3 linked regions of the Caenorhabditis elegans genome follow. The protein of the gene in region 1 purifies or fractionates together with the protein of each later gene. This does not show direct contact. Each region holds a gene or a part of one and is shown in the gene's direction. Other genes may lie near its edges.

Region 1 (3,804 bases):
TATTTACCGTATTTCTTCTATTAGTATGGCCTCCCTATTAGACTTGCACTCCCTATTAGTATTGCTCCTTGAACACCCTCCGAAAATTAGTATTGCACTCCCTATGAGTGTTGCACTCCCTAATAGTCTTGCATCTACTTTTTTTTTGGTACAAACCCACCCTACTAATTTTGAGATTTGAACAACATTTTTTGCCTACTTTGCAACAATTTTGGTAAAATTTCTATGAAATTGAAGTTATTGTACCTTTTTGTTGCAATTACAATCAAATTTTCTGAATTTTCACATAAGATTCGAGTTTTTTCTGGAAAAAAACTAGTAAGCTCAAAGTCAGAAAATGTTCTGAACATTAGTATTGCACTCCCTAATAGTCTTGCACTCCCTATTAGTATTGCAAGCGGGAAGACCATCGAAAAATAGTATTGCAGCCATATTAATAGAAGAAATACGGTATACGCTTTTTTTATTTGTAAATTTCAAGTCAACCAATAAATCCATCTTTTAAAAAAATAAAAAAGCACATGTCCTGTAATTCGCACTTTTCGCTGAACCACTTGCCAAAAAGGGATGTTTACTTTTGGTGACCATCAGTTAACGCGTACAAAAATCAGAAAAGTCACGTTCACCGCGAGAGACATGTGCAAGGAGTGGAGACTCAGACATAGAGCAATCGAGCGGAAAGTAGGCGCATAAATTTTCGATGATAAATCGACATGGACAAGGCGGAGTGTGATGATTGTGGGGTTATAAATGGTTTCATTTTACACCGAATTCTTGCAGTCTTTCGATTTTTCTTCCATCGTATTTTGTGGTTTCCGCAAATTCTTAGCCGACTTTTTGGCAAATTTCGGCCAAGTTTCAATTTTGCCCAACTTTTGTAAACTTTTACGAACAGTATTTCTAAACTTGCTAGAGTTGATTGAAAAGTTAGTTTAAATTGCCGGATTGCCGATGTGCCGGAACTTTTAGTTTCCAGCAATTTGCCGATATGCCGTTGTCGAACATTAATTTGCCGGAAGTTTTTAGATGGATTTTTTATAGGACGGATACATTTAAAACTGTGCCTTTTCGAATTTTTCCCGTTTTCTTTGGATATTTTCATATAATATTCTTACTTTCAAAATAGATATATTATCGAAAAAATACAATCGCACATTTTTCTCATAATTTATTTTTGATCTACCTTGTTTACTAGGCTCCGCCCCCCTAAAGTAATTTTTACTTGCAATATTTTAGACACAAAAAGTCTGAAACTTCGGTCGAAATTATTAGAAATCGAAAACTAATATTTCTGAAAAGTGAACATTTCAACAAAAAATTTTTTAACTTGAATAAAGCTGTAGTGTTATGCTGTCCCATCAGTGTTTGATCTAAAATAAAAGCGGGAATTTTCGCTGAGAAATAAATCTGCGTCAGGTAACATTCAGAGATCAAAAAGTCTTTATCTATATTTTGATCTATTTGGGCTTCCTGCAGGTGAATAGTGACCTACAGTCTTCCCGCTTGCATCTCCTCCCTTCCTATGTTGTTGTGAGGCAGAGTCAGTTGACGTCTTGTATTTACTTTTCTTCGTCAATAAACCATCTTTTTAAAAATAAAAATTTAAATTTTCTAATCTCTTTTTTTCATATTTCTGCTGTTTGAAACTTCAATTTTTTGTATTTTCAGAAAATGTCTCGTGAATTGATGGTTCAGGATAGTGGGGACACTATCGGAAATACTCCATTGGTGCTTCTCCGAAATATTTCCAAAGGCTTGGATGCCAGAATCGGTAACAATATTTTATGAAATTTCGCTGAAAATTTGTAAATTTCAGCTGTCAAAGTGGAATATCTGAATCCATCGTGCTCTGTCAAGGATCGAATTGCCAAGTCAATGGTGGACGAAGCCGAGAAAGCTGGAACAATTGTGCCCGGAAAAACGGTTCTCGTTGAGGGAACCAGTGGAAATTTGGGCATCGCTTTGGCTCATATTGGAAAGATTCGAGGGTTTGACAACTGACTTTACAGCGGAAAAAAAATTAAAACTTTAATAAGATATTTTTAGATACAAGGTGATTCTCGTGATGCCAGCCACCATGAGCGTTGAGCGTCGTGCCATGCTCCGAGCCTACGGAGCCGAGGTGATCCTGTCCGATCCAGCTGAAGGACATCCGGGAGTTATTAAGAAAGTGGAGATGCTTGTCGATAAGCTTCCAAATGCTCATTGCCTTGATCAATTCTCGAATCCCGCCAATCCAGCCGCTCATTATCGTACCACTGGGCCAGAAATTTGGAGGCAAACCGAAGGAAAAGTTGATATTGTGTGCTTTGGTGTAGGATCGAGTGGAACTGTGACAGGAGTCGGAAGATACCTCCGCGAGCAGAATCCGAATATTGAGATCTACCCGGTTGAGCCATACGAGAGTTCAGTCTTGAGTGGGCTGCCAAGAGGGCCACACAAAATTCAAGGTTTGATTTACATTCACGGGTTTTCATAGTCCCATGGTGAACATCTGTCGCACGTGGTGTTAGAGTGTCTCAGTTTAGCATGATCTACATAGATCTACAAAACATGCGGGAGAAGAGACGCAGAGTTCTCAACTGAATGTCGTATGGTTAAGAACGTGCTGACGTCACATATTTTTGAGCAAAAAATTCCCGCATTTTTTGTAGATCAAACCGTAATGAGACAGCCTGGCACTACGTGTAAGAATGATTAAAAGTCACGGCTGCGGTCGAGGTTCAGAACCATCTCGCTGAAACTCTGCCAGTTCATAATATGAGGGAGTCTGAAAGTGCTAACATTTCGTTATCACTCATTTCTTATCATTATAAACTTCTAGGAATCGGTGCCGGCATTGTGCCAGGAAACGTCGATCGCTCGTTGTTCACGGAAATTTTGCGCATCAAGTCTGACGATGCGATGCAAATGGCGCGGCGACTCGCCGACGAGGAGGCAATTCTCGGTGGAATCTCGTCCGGAGCCAACGTCGTCGCTGCCGTGGAGCTGGCTAGTCGCCCCGAGAACAAGGGAAAATTGATTGTGACCACTGTGAACAGCTTTGCAGAGAGATACTTGTGAGTTTATAGTGTAGTTTTTTTTAATCGAAACTTAAATTTTCAGCACCACGGAGCTGTACTCGGATGTGCTCAATGAAGTTTCACAATTGACTTTTTCAAGTGACGATGAGGCGATGGGAATTGCGAAGAAATATTTGGGTCTCTAAATGTATTTAACTGACATAAGATTGAGAATTTTTGGAAATTTAAAATAAATTGTATTCCCCAGCCAGCCATGAAAGAGTTTAATTATTTCAAACAAAAATTAAACAAAATTAATTTAGTAGGTCTTGTGCGGACTTAAAATATTAAAAGGCTTCAATAGTACCCTAATTTTTCTGGGCACAATACATCACATTAATAGGGAAATATGGGGTATCAATAACCTTCACATCAGGGAATCCGCATTTTTTAAGCAGGTCGGTAGCACGTTTCTGCCCCCACATTGCACCATAACACAGAGCATCTGGGCAGTTACTTCCGACAGGGAGACAATGGAACATGGAGCACCCGTACATCATTGCAGCCAATGGGCCCATGGCGGCTTTATCGGTGTATACGTTACTGGAGCCGAGCACCTCTACCATAGCGAACATCCCGCTTGGCTTGAGAACTCGGTGGATTTCTTGGACGCACTGAAAATTATAAAATATCTTTTTAGAAAATTTAAGATTTTCAGTACCAAATCTGGTCTCCGCTGATCGTGGCATGCATCAAAAATAAGCACCAAATCGAAGGAGTCCGTCCAGATTTCTGGCATTTT
Region 2 (8,020 bases), on another chromosome or scaffold:
ACTAAACGGAAAAAGTCTTAAAAACTTTTATAAAAGCTAGTTGAAACCTTAAAAAACGGTGCAAGAATTGAAAAAAAAAACTAATTTCATAGTTAAGATAGAAGTCGGGTTAGCAACCGAACAAAAAAAAGAAATTTCTTGTACATAAGCTGAAACGGTAATTTAATTTTTTTTTATTTTTAGGATGTTCCCGATGAAACATAATTTAGTGGAGCTCCGTCATGTTCTGGTAGTCCAGCAACATACCTAAAGTATTTTTTGTATTGTTTTTTGTTTTTGGACGAATTTTAATTTTCAGTCGGGGAGTTTAAAACAAAATTCGTAGTTTTTTTTTTTGGTTCTTTTACTAAGATTTTTACTAAATCAAAAACAAATGCCATTTTTATAAAAACTAATTGAAACTGTCAAATTGTAAAAATCTGTTTTTTTTTTCAAACATTGTGATTTAATTACAAACTTGCAGTGCCGTTTACATTCCATATTTGGATTGGATTAGAATTGGATCTTCCATAATAGGTAGGCGCGGTTTCAGGGACCTGACGCCTGCCTCGAATCGCATTTTTACGTTTTTTTCTCATTTCAATAATTTTGTTGAAAATCAAATTAAGATATGAAAAAACAAATAGTTCGTGTATGTTTTAGAATAAGGCGCGTATTGAGGCAAGAGGCAGGCGGAGATCGCCTTAAGGTCAGGCAGGTGGGAATTTGAACGCCTTCATGGAAACCTTAGTTTTTGTAATTAACAAGACATTTTGTAATTTACAGCAAATATCAGAAAAAGATTAATGAGAAATAAGAATGTTCACTAGTACATAGCAGCTAGTTGAAACTGCGATTTTATTTTATAGTCTCACGTTCAATTTGAGCCAAATTTGCGATTCTGAGCTTGAAGTAAAAATTGTGCAGGTGGTTTGGGTATACCGTGAGACTATCCAATAAATTTACAGTTTCAGCGTGTTGTACATAAGAACACGCTGAAACTGTAATTTAATTGGATAGTCTCACGGTCAATTTGACCCGTGTTTCGGGTGTTCCCGTAAGAAACATAATTTTCTAGAGCTCTATCTTGTACTGGAGCTCCTCAGAATCCTGGTGGTCCAGCAGCACACCTGGAGGACTAAAGTGCTGAACTGTTCTCTTAAATGTTCTGTTTTTTTTCGGGCCAAAAACCAAAAGAAAACTATATTTCAAAAAAAAAACTTTTTTATTTTTATTTTTGATCAAAAACTTTTTTTGGTAAGACCTTCCTCCTGTATTTTTTTTCAATTTCAAAAATTCTGCAAGAATTCAAAATGTTGTAATTTTAGTCGCTTCAGTGAGGAAATATAAAACTGCATCTACATAGCAACTAGCTGAAACTGTAATTTTTTATTTCATAGCCTCACGGTTAATTTCCACTAAATTCGCGTTAAATCCAATGTTCTATTTTATAATTTTTTATGGATGCTTTAAGCAAAATTTGGTATTTCTTTTCGAAATTCTTCGGACCAAAAAACAAACAAAAAACAGAAAAAACTGTTTTTCCAAAGATTTTAATTCGTTTTACAGTTTTAACTTACAAATGTGATGTAGGTAGTAAGCAACAAATAAATTGCAGTTTTATAACAACTAGTTGAAACGGTCAAATTTATAAGCTCTGAAAGTTGTGTTTCCAATAAAACTCTTAATATATATCACCGATTTATAACAACTAGCGGAAACAGTAACTAAAAAATTAATTTTATAAATAATTTTAAAGTCCCAATGTTCTATTTTCGAATTCTACCCAATCGCGAGATTCTGCATTCAGATCTTATCATCTTTCTCTTCCAAATACACACACACACACCTTGAAACTAACCAATAAAAATGCAATCATCCGACCGTTTCGTCGTCGTCAAGGATCGTAACCTGGAACCAGAAGACGAGAATCATCAAAACAGAGAATTTTATGGCGGTGATCTATTGGGCGGGAAGGAACATACCACGTGGGAGAAGGGGGAGGAGAAGTCGAACATTCACGAGAAATCTTTCATTGCTGATCAGAATAAGTTCGGTTTTGTTGGCAAATTTTGAGGTTAGTTTTTTGATGAGTGCCGAAATTTTACCGAAATTTGGAATTCGGCAATTGTCAATTTTATGAACTATACCAATAAATTGTATTAAAACTTCTAGAATGCTCTAGAAAAATCTGGAAACTACTAGAATTTTCTAGAACAAAACTGGAAACTTCTAGAAATTTCCAGAGAAATCTATAAACTTCTGTAATTTTCTAGAAAAATGTGGGAACTTTAAGAATTTTTTAGAAAAATCTGGTAACTTCTAGAATTTTCTAGAAATTTTTTTTTAAATTTTATTTTTTAAAAATTACTGTTTCATCACATTGAGAAAATGTTTTTACTGTTGATTTTTCTAATTTCGTATACTGTTGACTCGGTTTGTGAAGACTCAATTTTCCAGCATGAACATCCCATCTCTCTTCGTCGACCCATTCTCTCCGCTCCTCGAGCATCCAACGGAGCAACGTGCCAAGAATGTGGCTCACGCACCAAAGCGTCCGTGTAATCTTACACAGACAGAGAAAATGGTAATAAATTTATCTTTGAAAAGATAAAAAAAATGTACTGTTTCATTAAAAACGTTTAGGCACTTGACTTGGAATTTTTTCTTTTCAAATGAATTTTTTGAAACTGCAAAAACAGTTTCATTGTTTCATTGAGCGCTTTAAAGAAGACTGTGAAACATAATCTTTGACAAGTTGGCTGAAAATGAGCCTAAACTAACAAATTTTTTAGAAAAATTTGGCTAAACTCTGAAATTTTTTGCCTAGTTTTTAATAAAATTAGCTTTTTTTTGTTGCATCAAGAAGTTTAAATGCTACACTGACTAACTAATAGAACTTTTTACAAATTGAAATGCAATATTTGGAACAGTGAACATTTTTACCTTTAATTTTTCAAATCTACTCCTAATTATGGTAAACTATTTGCAATGAGATCAATGTTATAATTTATTGTTCCGACATCTCCCGGGTTGCACAGTGTTCTCTGTGCTCGGCGCAATTTGGGAGATACCAATTAATTGAATGAAGTTGTTGTGCCAATTCTAGTTCAGAAAAAAGTAAGAGAAGACTGTAACAAAATTTACAATTTTTTTGCAATTTTGGAGCAGTTTTTGAAGTCGGTAGGCTATGTAGTTTTCGAGATCAAGAACAATCAAGAAGATCAAGAATCAGATCAAATTTTAATTTAGGAGCTGAAAAGCTGTTGGCTATTAGTTACAAAAGTCTGTTTCACTTACTTGATAAAATACAAGTGGAATTCCAAAATTTATTGTTTCGAACTTCAATGCAGGTCCCAACCAGCTTCAACTATAAAATTCTTCCAGCTCGCCGTCCGCAATGCTCTCCGCTACATTCCAAAAGAGCATCACGTCCTTCTAGCCACCGAGTTCGCTGAAGAGCTCAACACCTATGGACACATCTATGGGTATCGGTTCATGCCAAACTTTGATCTATTCGCGCCGCCCGTCTCGGAGATCGGAGCTCATTGCGAACAAGCATCGGCTATCATTTTGATGATTCTAAACAATTTGGACAAGCGGGTTGCCCAGTTTCCACAGGAATTGGTGACTTATGGAGGAAATGGTCAAGTTTTTAGGTTAGCATGGGAATCTTTCTGAAATGCTTGAGAAATGATATTTCAGCAATTGGATCCAATTCCGTCTGGTTCTTCGTTACCTCTACACAATGACTGACCATCAAACTTTGGTGCTCTATTCCGGACACCCATTGGGCCTATTTCCATCAACCCCGGACTCGCCAAGAATGACTGTTACTAATGGAATGGTAGGCCTTTGGAAACTAGGATGCTTCGTACATTTTGACATTTCAGATGATCCCGAGCTACTCGACAAAGGAGCTGTACGACAAGTATTTTGCATTAGGAGTGACGCAGTACGGACAAATGACTGCTGGAAGTTTCTGTTATATTGGACCACAGGGAATTGTACACGGGACTACGGTAAGCCGTTAAATGGAGTTTGGCATTAAAACACCGTATTACCGTCAAATTTAATGAACACACTAAAACAGTCAAATTTATTTTGGAAAATGGGCAAAGCAGAAGGTTTTCAGTATACAACGGTTTTAGATGGAATTTCAAAGGCAAAAATTCAAGGATTTCAAGATTTTTGTTTTTTTTTCTGAATATGATTCTTGTCATTTATATAATCCAAACTGCACCAATGTAGTAGAGAAGTGACTCAAAGAAAACATGTTATTTCTAATAACTAACTCAGCCCTAAAATATACGGACACTGTGAAACATTAAATTTTTGTAAATTTTATTTTTTTTTTTAAATAGTTATATAATGAACCAAAGCTGAAGTTTTGGCATTAAACACCTTATTACTGCCAGAATATATGAACACACTGAAACAGTAAATTTTATTCTGGGATATGGGCTACACAGAAGGTTTTCAGTATACAACGGTTTCAGATAGTATTTGAATGATTTTTGTTAAGTTTTTGTGTATTATTCTAGTTATTTTATAATCCAAACTCCACCAAAGTAGTAGAGAAGTGGCGTCAAGAAAACTTGATATATTGCTTTAATTTATAGCGGTGTTCTCTTGAAAACCTTCCTAATAGCTAACTCTCTAAGTCCTAAAATATGTAGACACAATGAAACAATAAATTTCTGAAATTTGTAATTTTTTTTTCAAGAGTTACATAATGAACCAAAGCTGATAATATTTTGTCCCACTGAAAAAATTTACTTACTTCAACTAACCACAGTATTTATTAAAGAGTGATAATTTAACAAAAATTTAGTTCCAGACACTTAGAAGATGACAAAATTTTTGATTTTAGCTGAAAATGAGACCTTTTTTATCAGAACTTTGAACCGCCATAACTTTTTTTTTTGAGAAATTTTCAAAATGTCTCGTTACGAAATTCAGTAGTTTTTGGGGAATCTTGGGTCGGAAAAAGCAAAATCTCAGATTTCGGTACTCCACCTTAAATAGAGTCGAATAGCTATCTTACAAAGCCCTAAAATATGTAGAAACTGTGAAAAAATAAATTTTTGTAAATTTTATTTTTATTTTTTCAGTAGTTACATAATGAACCAGAACTGATAACATTTTTTTTTAATTTGAATTTCGTAATTTTCTTAAGGTTTTTCAAAATTGACTTATTAGAAGCAGAAAGTTGAAAGTCTTTTCACTTTATAATATTTTAAAGAAATCTAAATGATTCGAGACCAGATGCAACAGATTACAGCTTTTCTACCCATATAGAAAAATAGTGACGTCACTATATGAGTTTTTCTCGATCTATTCTTCTTGTCCGATTAATTTCATCACAACTCTCCTGAATTTCTGAACCCCCTGAAACAGTAAAAATTCTCCAGATCACAGTCCTCAACGCTGGTCGTCGTATGGGACTGGATTCCCTTGCTGGTAAGGTTTTCGTAACTGCAGGACTTGGAGGAATGAGTGGAGCTCAACCAAAAGCAGCTAAGATTGCTGGATGTATTGGAGTTATTGCGGAAATTAGTGATACTGCATTGTTGAAACGTCATCAACAGGGATGGTTGGATGTATATTCGAAGGATCTTGAGGAAATTGTGAATTGGATTAAAGAGTACAGAGAGAAAAAAGAGGCAATTAGTATTGGATATTTGGGGAATGTTGTTGACTTGTGGTGAGTTTTAGAAAATTTTACTGTTTCAGAAAGTTGTTAAATTTTTTTATGAAAGTGTGAAAGGCGATCTACGGAGCAAGAGGGAAAATAATTAAAGGAAACGAGAAAAGCGGAAAAAATTGTAATACAAATAATATATCTCATAGTTTCGGAACCAAGATTTTTTTTAAATTACAGAATTTTTTACAAAGATTTTTCACAATTAATAAACTTGGTAAAACATTATTCACAAAAATTCTAGACAAAAAACTATGAGTTTTCAAAATTCCAGGGAACGGCTCGCCGAGGAACCGGAATGTCTTGTAGAACTGGGAAGTGACCAAACTTCTCTCCACAATCCATTCCTTGGAGGTTTTTACCCTGCTGGACTCACTTTTGAACAATCCAATCAAATGATGACTTCTGATCCTGTAAAATTCAAAAAACTTGTTCAAAACTCTTTAATCCGCCAAATCGCCGCCATCGACAAGATTGCTGCAAAGGGAATGTACTTCTGGGATTACGGTAATGCTTTCCTTTTGGAATGCCAGAGAGCTGGAGCCAATTTGCTCAGAGAGGATGCTCAGGATGATAAATCGTTTAGATATCCAAGTTATATGCAGGATATTATGGGGTAATAATTATTTGAAAAGAGTACAATTTAAATAAAATAAATTCTGTTTCAGAGACATCTTTTCAATGGGATTTGGACCATTCCGATGGGTTTGTACTTCTGGAAAGCCGGAAGATTTGAGATTGACTGATCAGACAGCATGCAAGATTATTGATGAGTTGAAGGATACTGATGGTGAGTGCTTTTATGTTGTAACAAAAAAATCGACTGTTTCACTATGGCTATATGTATGTTCACTATTTTGAGAAATTTGATGGGTTCAGTGTGTGTATCTTTGAAATTTAGTACTAATCTCATAAAATTGAGCATTTGTTGGCGAGAAATCATATATATGCTGTTTCATATTGTCCATAAAACTGCCGACGAATTTTGACTTTAATTTTTAATATTTGTTAGGAAATTTAGGGATGTGAAGCTGTTGAAAAAAAAAAAGAAAAACGAATAGCCAGTGTAATATTCTTGAAACCGTAAATAACTACTAAATAAAATAGCGTACTGTTTCGAGAAGTTTATATAATTTTCGCTTTTTGAAAGAGGTTATTCCGGAAATATTGCTAAAAAAAAGCAGAAAACTTCTACAATTTCGCATAGTCATTAAAGTATGTTCGATTATTTTATTTTATTAATTTTGCTGAATTAAAAAATAACATATTAAAGGTGGAGTACCGAAATTAGTGACTCTGTTTTCTTAGACCAAAATGAGTCCAAACCTACCGAATTTTGTAATGAGACGTTCTGAAAATTTCTCAAAAAAAAAAGTTATGACGGTTCAAAGTTTTAGAAAATAAGGCCCATTTTCAGCTAAAATCAAAATTTTTTCCAACTTCTCGGTGTCGCAACGTCTGGAATTGAATTTTCATTTATTCATCACTTTTTAATAAATATTGTGGTCATTGATTGGGCGTTTATTCGTTGATTTAACTACATTTATGGTCTTTGGGGCACAAATAAAAGTTACATTTTGTGCCTCACTGACCATAAATGTACTTAAATCAACGAATAAACGCCCAATCAAAGGCCACATTATTTATTAAAAAGAGATGAATAAATAAAAATTCAATTCCAAACGTTGCAACACCGAGAAATTAGATAAAATTTCGATTTTAGCTGAAAATGGGCCTTATTTTCTAAAACTTTGAACCTTCATAACTTTTTTTAAAGAAATTTTCAGAACGTCTCATCACAAAATTCGGTAGTTTTGGGCTCATTTTGTTCTAAAAAAACAGAGTCTCTAATTTCGGTACTCCACCTTTAAGAGTAGAAACATGTAGTTTTAGGGGAACTCATCAGGTTATTTATCAAATTTATGCTTGGAAAAGTTGAAAGTCTACCGAAAATGTCTTTTCCGCTGAAAAAAATTAACATCGTTCCCGGAAACCCGGGATATGTCGTACCATGATGAACAATTCACAAAGTGTCGACCGCAAAGCAAGTATACCAAAACGAGAGATAGGAGATGCGGTTTGAAAACAAGTTGAATTTGAGAATTTTTCACTGTTTCCAACTTTGCATTTTAATTTGTAACGTATTGTATTAGACAATTTGTAAAAAATTATGTTTTTTATTATCTTCAAAATACTATGATCCTGAATGAATTATTTGAAATGGGTACCCTTAACTTTAACAAATATTCGCTCTTAAAAATTCTGAGAAAATTTGCAAAAAATCACCACGTCTTCTTCTTGAATGGGTACCACTGAAAATTAATTGGGTTGTTATTT
Region 3 (5,254 bases), on another chromosome or scaffold:
CATGAAAAACCATATAAAAAATCCACAAAATGATACGGCCACCCTTGGTTTTCGTTTTCTTTTTTCGTTTTCTTTGCAATTTTTTTTGCTAAACGTTAAGTTTCATGTTCGTTTGTGTTTTTACAGCTATGGGTCGTGGAATAACTTCAACTGACTACGAAAAAGGACAAATTGTGCCAAATTATCTCAAGGCTTCTCGAATCGTCAGATTTTTCGTGATTTGAAACTTTCGAGAGATATGATCACTCGATATGCTTCCAATCCTGCCGCTTATTGCACAAAAAAGTCTTCTGGTCGCACACCTTTTCTTTCTGTCAGACCCAAAAAAAAAACCGTTCGTCGAGCATCCAATTGAACAGTGACTTGCTCGAAAAGTAGGAGCGAGATGAACCTGGCAGTGTCTGTTGAGGCCGTACGACATGTTCTTTTGAAGTCTCAGTTTAACAAAAGACGAAAATTAAGAAAGGCTCCATTCATTACCAAAAAACCGCCAAAACCGTATTCAGTTTGCTAAAATCAGTCAGGGAACTAACTGAAGACAAGTGAGGATTACGGTATAATCATTCAAGCCCAGTTTTTGGTTTCAGTTCATCTTTTCTTTTCTCAAATCGTGCCACTAATCACGGTAGTAATCTGGTTCATTACAGTTAAACTTTTTCTCGTCACTGAAGATGAACTGAAACCAAAAACTGGGCTTGAATGATTATACCGTAATCCTCACTTGTCTTCAGTTAGTTCCCTGACTGATTTTAGCAAACTGAATACGGTTTTGGCGGTTTTTTGGTAATGAATGGAGCCTTTCTTAATTTTCGTCTTTTGTTAAACTGAGACTTCAAAAGGACATGTCGTACGGCCTCAACAGACACTGCCAGGTTCATCTCGCTCCTACTTTTCGAGCAAGTCACTGTTCAATTGGATGCTCGACGAACGGTTTTTTTTTTGGGTCTGACAGAAAGAAAAGGTGTGCGACCAGAAGACTTTTTTGTGCAATAAGCGGCAGGATTGGAAGCATATCGAGTGATCATATCTCTCGAAAGTTTCCAAATCACGAAAAATCTGACGATTCGAGAAGCCTTGAGATAATTTGGCACAATTTGTCCTTTTTCGCAGTCAGTTGAAGTTATTCCACGACCCATAACTGTAAAAACACAAACGAACATGAAACTTAACGTTTAGCAAAAAAAATTGCAAAGAAAACGAAAAAAGAAAACGAAAACCAAGGGTGGCCGTATCATTTTGTGGATTTTTTAAATATGGTTTTTCATGAAAAAATGGTTTATCTTTTTTACAAACGGTTCAGGTATATTTCCAATACTTATCTGAAAGTAAGTTAGTACAGCGAACATTTTCACAAGAAACTATGTTTTGCTATCTCAACCCAGTTTTGAGTTATACCAAAATTTGGGGTGGCCGTATCATTATGTGGAGCACTGTAGTATCGATACTACTAGATCAAAAGTAAATGTGAATAGTTACGGTTATGAATTATTGATTGTTTTTCCCCATCACTTTTTTTTCATGCTTCCCAGATGCCTTATCCATGTGAATATATTTATTCAAAAATCAGCTTTAATTTATTTTATATTTTCCCTTTTTTTCGGTTTTTCTCCTATGTTAGACATTCCATAAATAATGGGTTTTTAAAAAATAATTCTGTCTAATTTTTTCGGCGGTTTTAACCAATTTTCTATCATTTTCTATAATTTCCCTTTGTGTCCGTTGTTGAAATTTCCCCATTGACAGACATTTGATGATTCGGGTGCTCATTTCGCTTACAGTTATGGCTTCTGTGCTTCATGCTGAGCCAACTGTCGTTGTTGTTGGAGGTGGGCTCGCCGGGCTGTCTGCTTCACTGGATATTATCAATGGAGGTGGACGTGTGATTTTGGTAGAGGGAGAGGGAAATACTGGTGGAAATTCAGCGAAGGTAAGATCTTGCGAATTTTTGAAAAAAATCTATTTAACTTCTGGAAATATCGATTGTTAAAATTTATTTTCTCGCATTTTTTTGTTCCAAATTTCTGAAAAAGTTATTTATTTTACTATTAGTTGCAAATTGTGAAAAAAAATAATATTCTGTTTTTTTTCCTTTAAAACTGAAACGTCTCTGAAAAAATATGATAAATTAAAAAATTTCGATTGTAAGAAATTTTCAAATTTAAAAACAGTTAAATCGTGTGAAAAAGCTGGAAATAAAAAAAAAGAGTAACAAATTCTCGTTCTGAAAAATTTCAAAATTAAGTATGCCAAATTACAGTAAAATGTTTTAGTAAGTCTAGGTGATTTTTAAAAAAAGTGTCCAATATCCTCACTTCTTGAAAAAAATATTCCAGGCATCCAGCGGAATCAACGGTGCTGGAACCGAAACTCAGGAGAAACTGGGAATCAAAGATTCGCCGGAACTTCTTGTCAAGGACACTCTGAGTGCAGGAGACTCTGAAAATGACAAGAAACTTGTGGAAATTCTGGCTGCTAATTCAGCAGATGCTGTTGAATTTCTGCGTGGAGTTGAAGTGGATCTGACTGATGTGAATCTATGTGGTGGGCATTCTGTACCACGTACTCATTGGATTCCATCTCCAAAGGAAGGACGACCAATACCAGCTGGTTTCGAAATTATGAAGAGATTGAGAACAAGGCTTAATGAGAAGCAATCGGAGAATCCAGAAGCCTTCAAGCTTTTGACTCAGACTAAAATGGTTGGAATTTTGAGAGAAAATGGAAAAGTATCGGGAATCGAGATTGTAACATCAGCTTCTGGAGAGAAATCAAAGATCATCGGAGACGCTGTAATCCTTGCAACCGGTGGATTCTCTGCTGATGAAACTTTGCTCAAGGAATTTGGAGCTGAAATATTCGGATTCCCAACAACAAATGGAGCATTCGCTAAAGGAGATGGTGTGAAAATTGCGAGAGCTCTTGGAGCAAAGATTATTGGAATGGAAAATATTCAGATTCATCCTACAGCGTTTGTAGATCCAAAAGATCCATCAGCAGGAACAAAGTTCCTGGCGGCTGAGGCTATTCGTGGAAAAGGAGCTCTGCTTATTAACTCAAAGGGACAAAGATTTGGAAATGAGTTGGGAAGACGCGATTATTTAACTGGAAAGATTCTTGAGCTCGCTGAGCCAATTGAAGAGAGTTTCCAAGGAGGATCTGCTGGAAGAAATGCGGCGATTATGATTATGAATGAAGCAAATGTTGAGGCTTTTGGCAGACCTGCTTTCAATTTTTATTCGATTGTTAAGAAATTCTTTGGTAGGTTTTTTTCTGTGAAAAAGTTGGAAAACATTTTTTAAATTAGTTGTTTGTTATTTGAAAAATCCCAAACAATTTTTTTCAAATTTCATTTTTTTTTTCGAAATCCATTAACACTTCTCGAGAATAAGTTCGACAAAATCTTCGTATTAAAAATTCCCAGTTTAAAGATTTTTTTGTCGAAAATTTTATCAGCTTCCTTTTTTTTGGAGTTTAAAAGCATTTTAAATCCAAAACTAATTTTTTTTTCCGGAATTTCTGAAATTTTTAAAAATTCCCTTTTTCAAATTAATTTTTTTAATTTTTAGTTTTATATTATGAAAATTGTATTATTGCTCTGAAATCTGATTTTTTTCAGCGAAATACGAGAACTCCGCGGAGCTTGCAAAGGCTTTGGGTATCGACGAATCAGCTATTAAAACCACTTTGGAGGAATATCAGAAGAGTTTTGATGGAAAATCTGAAGATCCTTTCGGCAAAAAGGTATTCAAATATTTTTAATTTTAAAATTCTTGAAAAAATGACTAAGAATTCTGAAAAGTTGATCAAAATTGCATTTACTTTTAAAACAGACTTTATAAAATCAGAAAAGTGAAAGAAAAACTAAAATTCATAGATTTAGGAAAAATTGTGCTGAAATTGTATTATTAGAAACTTTGAGTAAAACGTTGAAAAATATCGAGAAAATCTTTCCCCGAATATTTGACGATCTATTTTCAATTTAAACTTTCCCAAGCCTAAATTTTTTTTCAAAATTAAAAAAATATCGTTCAGCAAAAAAAAATATCGAAACTGTAAAAACAAAGTTATTTTTGCATCGGAATTAGCCGAAAAATACCGAAACTGTAATAATTTCCCATTTCCAGGTGTTCCCAGTGTCTGCAATCTCTCCGACTGAGCCAATCTACGCAGCAATCGTCGTCCCAGCAATCCACTACACCATGGGTGGCCTGAAAATCGACGAGGCCACCCGCGTCATCGATGAGCATGGCAAGCCAATTGTCGGCCTTTTTGCCGCTGGAGAAGTCACTGGCGGAGTTCATGGTTCCAATCGATTGGCTGGAAATTCCCTGCTTGAATGTGTGGTGTTTGGCAGAATTGCTGGAAAATCTGCGGCTCAATCTGCTGCGGAGACTCGTACCGAGCTCTAATTCGAATATTTTTACAGAAAAAACTCAGTTTTGTGGCTCAATTCTACAGTATAATTCAGAAATTTTCAGTTAAAAAAAACATTTTTTCGCGATCCGGGATTCCCGGACCCCTGTAGATAATGATTCATTTACTAGTTCCAACCAACTTTATATGTTTTTATTATATCTACTACTCTATTCAGCATTTTTATTTTTCTTGTGATTTGCATCTTTATGGGTTCTTCTACACATATATTTATTTCTCATTTTCTCTTCATTTTCACACTCTCTCGTATTTATCGTGTTTCCTTCTTCGTATTGTGGTGTGTTTTTGGGTAATAAATGTGTTTTATTTTCAGAAGAAGCGGCAGACGATGATGATCAACGATGACGATGAGACGTTCGATGACCAATATCCAGCAGATGAAGTGACCGCAGCAACGATGCGTAGACTTGCTTTTGAAAAAATGGATGATGATTATTATCTCGGTGGAGCTGTTGGGGATGAAGTTTTTGATTCAGAGGATGATGTGAGGTAAATACACTGGAAAATGGGAGAAATTGTAATCAATGCCAAAAAAAGGAAATGCACAGCGTAAAAATTTTGGAAAAAAAAACTATTTTTCACTAAAATCACATGAATTTCTAAGTTTCCACCTTTTAAAAAAATCAGACACCGCTCGCAGGTTACGGTAGCAGTAATCCCCGACGCAGCTGAAATTCTTGCTACAGTACTCCATGCAGAAGTATTCAAAGAAAACGACCTTTTTTGGTTACTGTAGCTAAATTTTAATATGTTGGTTCAATAGAAAATCATTTTTGAGAAATATCCCTACTTCATCGAAAAATCAAGTTTTATTTCAAAA

Evidence for each region. The genes of interacting proteins can lie anywhere in the genome.
Region 2: the proteins of cysl-3 (region 1) and uroc-1 fractionate together in Caenorhabditis elegans (co-fractionation; one large-scale study listed by BioGRID). This does not show direct contact.
Region 3: the proteins of cysl-3 (region 1) and F48E8.3 fractionate together in Caenorhabditis elegans (co-fractionation; one large-scale study listed by BioGRID). This does not show direct contact.

What each region holds. Positions count from the first base shown.
Region 1 is NC_003283.11:3,774,001-3,777,804, reverse strand, and holds cysl-3 (Cysteine synthase 3), read left to right. Parts: upstream 1-1,668; 5' UTR 1,669-1,671; coding exon 1,672-1,771; intron 1,772-1,816; coding exon 1,817-1,988; intron 1,989-2,046; coding exon 2,047-2,450; intron 2,451-2,824; coding exon 2,825-3,059; intron 3,060-3,105; coding exon 3,106-3,208; 3' UTR 3,209-3,269; downstream 3,270-3,804. Other genes in the region: rips-1 (Methyltransferase domain-containing protein), read right to left, coding at 3,371-3,676, 3,724-3,804. UniProt on the Caenorhabditis elegans protein: Primarily catalyzes the formation of cysteine and acetate from O-acetylserine and hydrogen sulfide.
Region 2 is NC_003282.8:16,536,743-16,544,762, reverse strand, and holds the start of uroc-1 (putative urocanate hydratase), read left to right. Parts: upstream 1-2,013; 5' UTR 2,014-2,056; intron 2,057-2,395; exon of another isoform or gene 2,396-2,416; intron 2,417-2,439; 5' UTR 2,440-2,440; coding exon 2,441-2,566; intron 2,567-2,844; exon of another isoform or gene 2,845-2,869; intron 2,870-3,309; exon of another isoform or gene 3,310-3,336; intron 3,337-3,366; coding exon 3,367-3,638; intron 3,639-3,684; coding exon 3,685-3,826; intron 3,827-3,872; coding exon 3,873-4,001; intron 4,002-4,005; exon of another isoform or gene 4,006-4,026; intron 4,027-4,037; exon of another isoform or gene 4,038-4,058; intron 4,059-4,354; exon of another isoform or gene 4,355-4,375; intron 4,376-4,605; exon of another isoform or gene 4,606-4,626; intron 4,627-4,992; exon of another isoform or gene 4,993-5,013; intron 5,014-5,312; exon of another isoform or gene 5,313-5,333; intron 5,334-5,393; coding exon 5,394-5,686; intron 5,687-5,753; exon of another isoform or gene 5,754-5,774; intron 5,775-5,957; coding exon 5,958-6,299; intron 6,300-6,351; coding exon 6,352-6,473; intron 6,474-6,553; exon of another isoform or gene 6,554-6,574; intron 6,575-6,678; and 10 more.
Region 3 is NC_003281.10:5,459,636-5,464,889, forward strand, and holds F48E8.3 (fumarate reductase (NADH)), read left to right. Parts: upstream 1-1,743; 5' UTR 1,744-1,780; coding exon 1,781-1,927; intron 1,928-2,333; coding exon 2,334-3,258; intron 3,259-3,616; coding exon 3,617-3,741; intron 3,742-4,124; coding exon 4,125-4,409; 3' UTR 4,410-4,747; downstream 4,748-5,254. Other genes in the region: F48E8.2 (E2F-associated phosphoprotein), read left to right, coding at 4,763-4,923.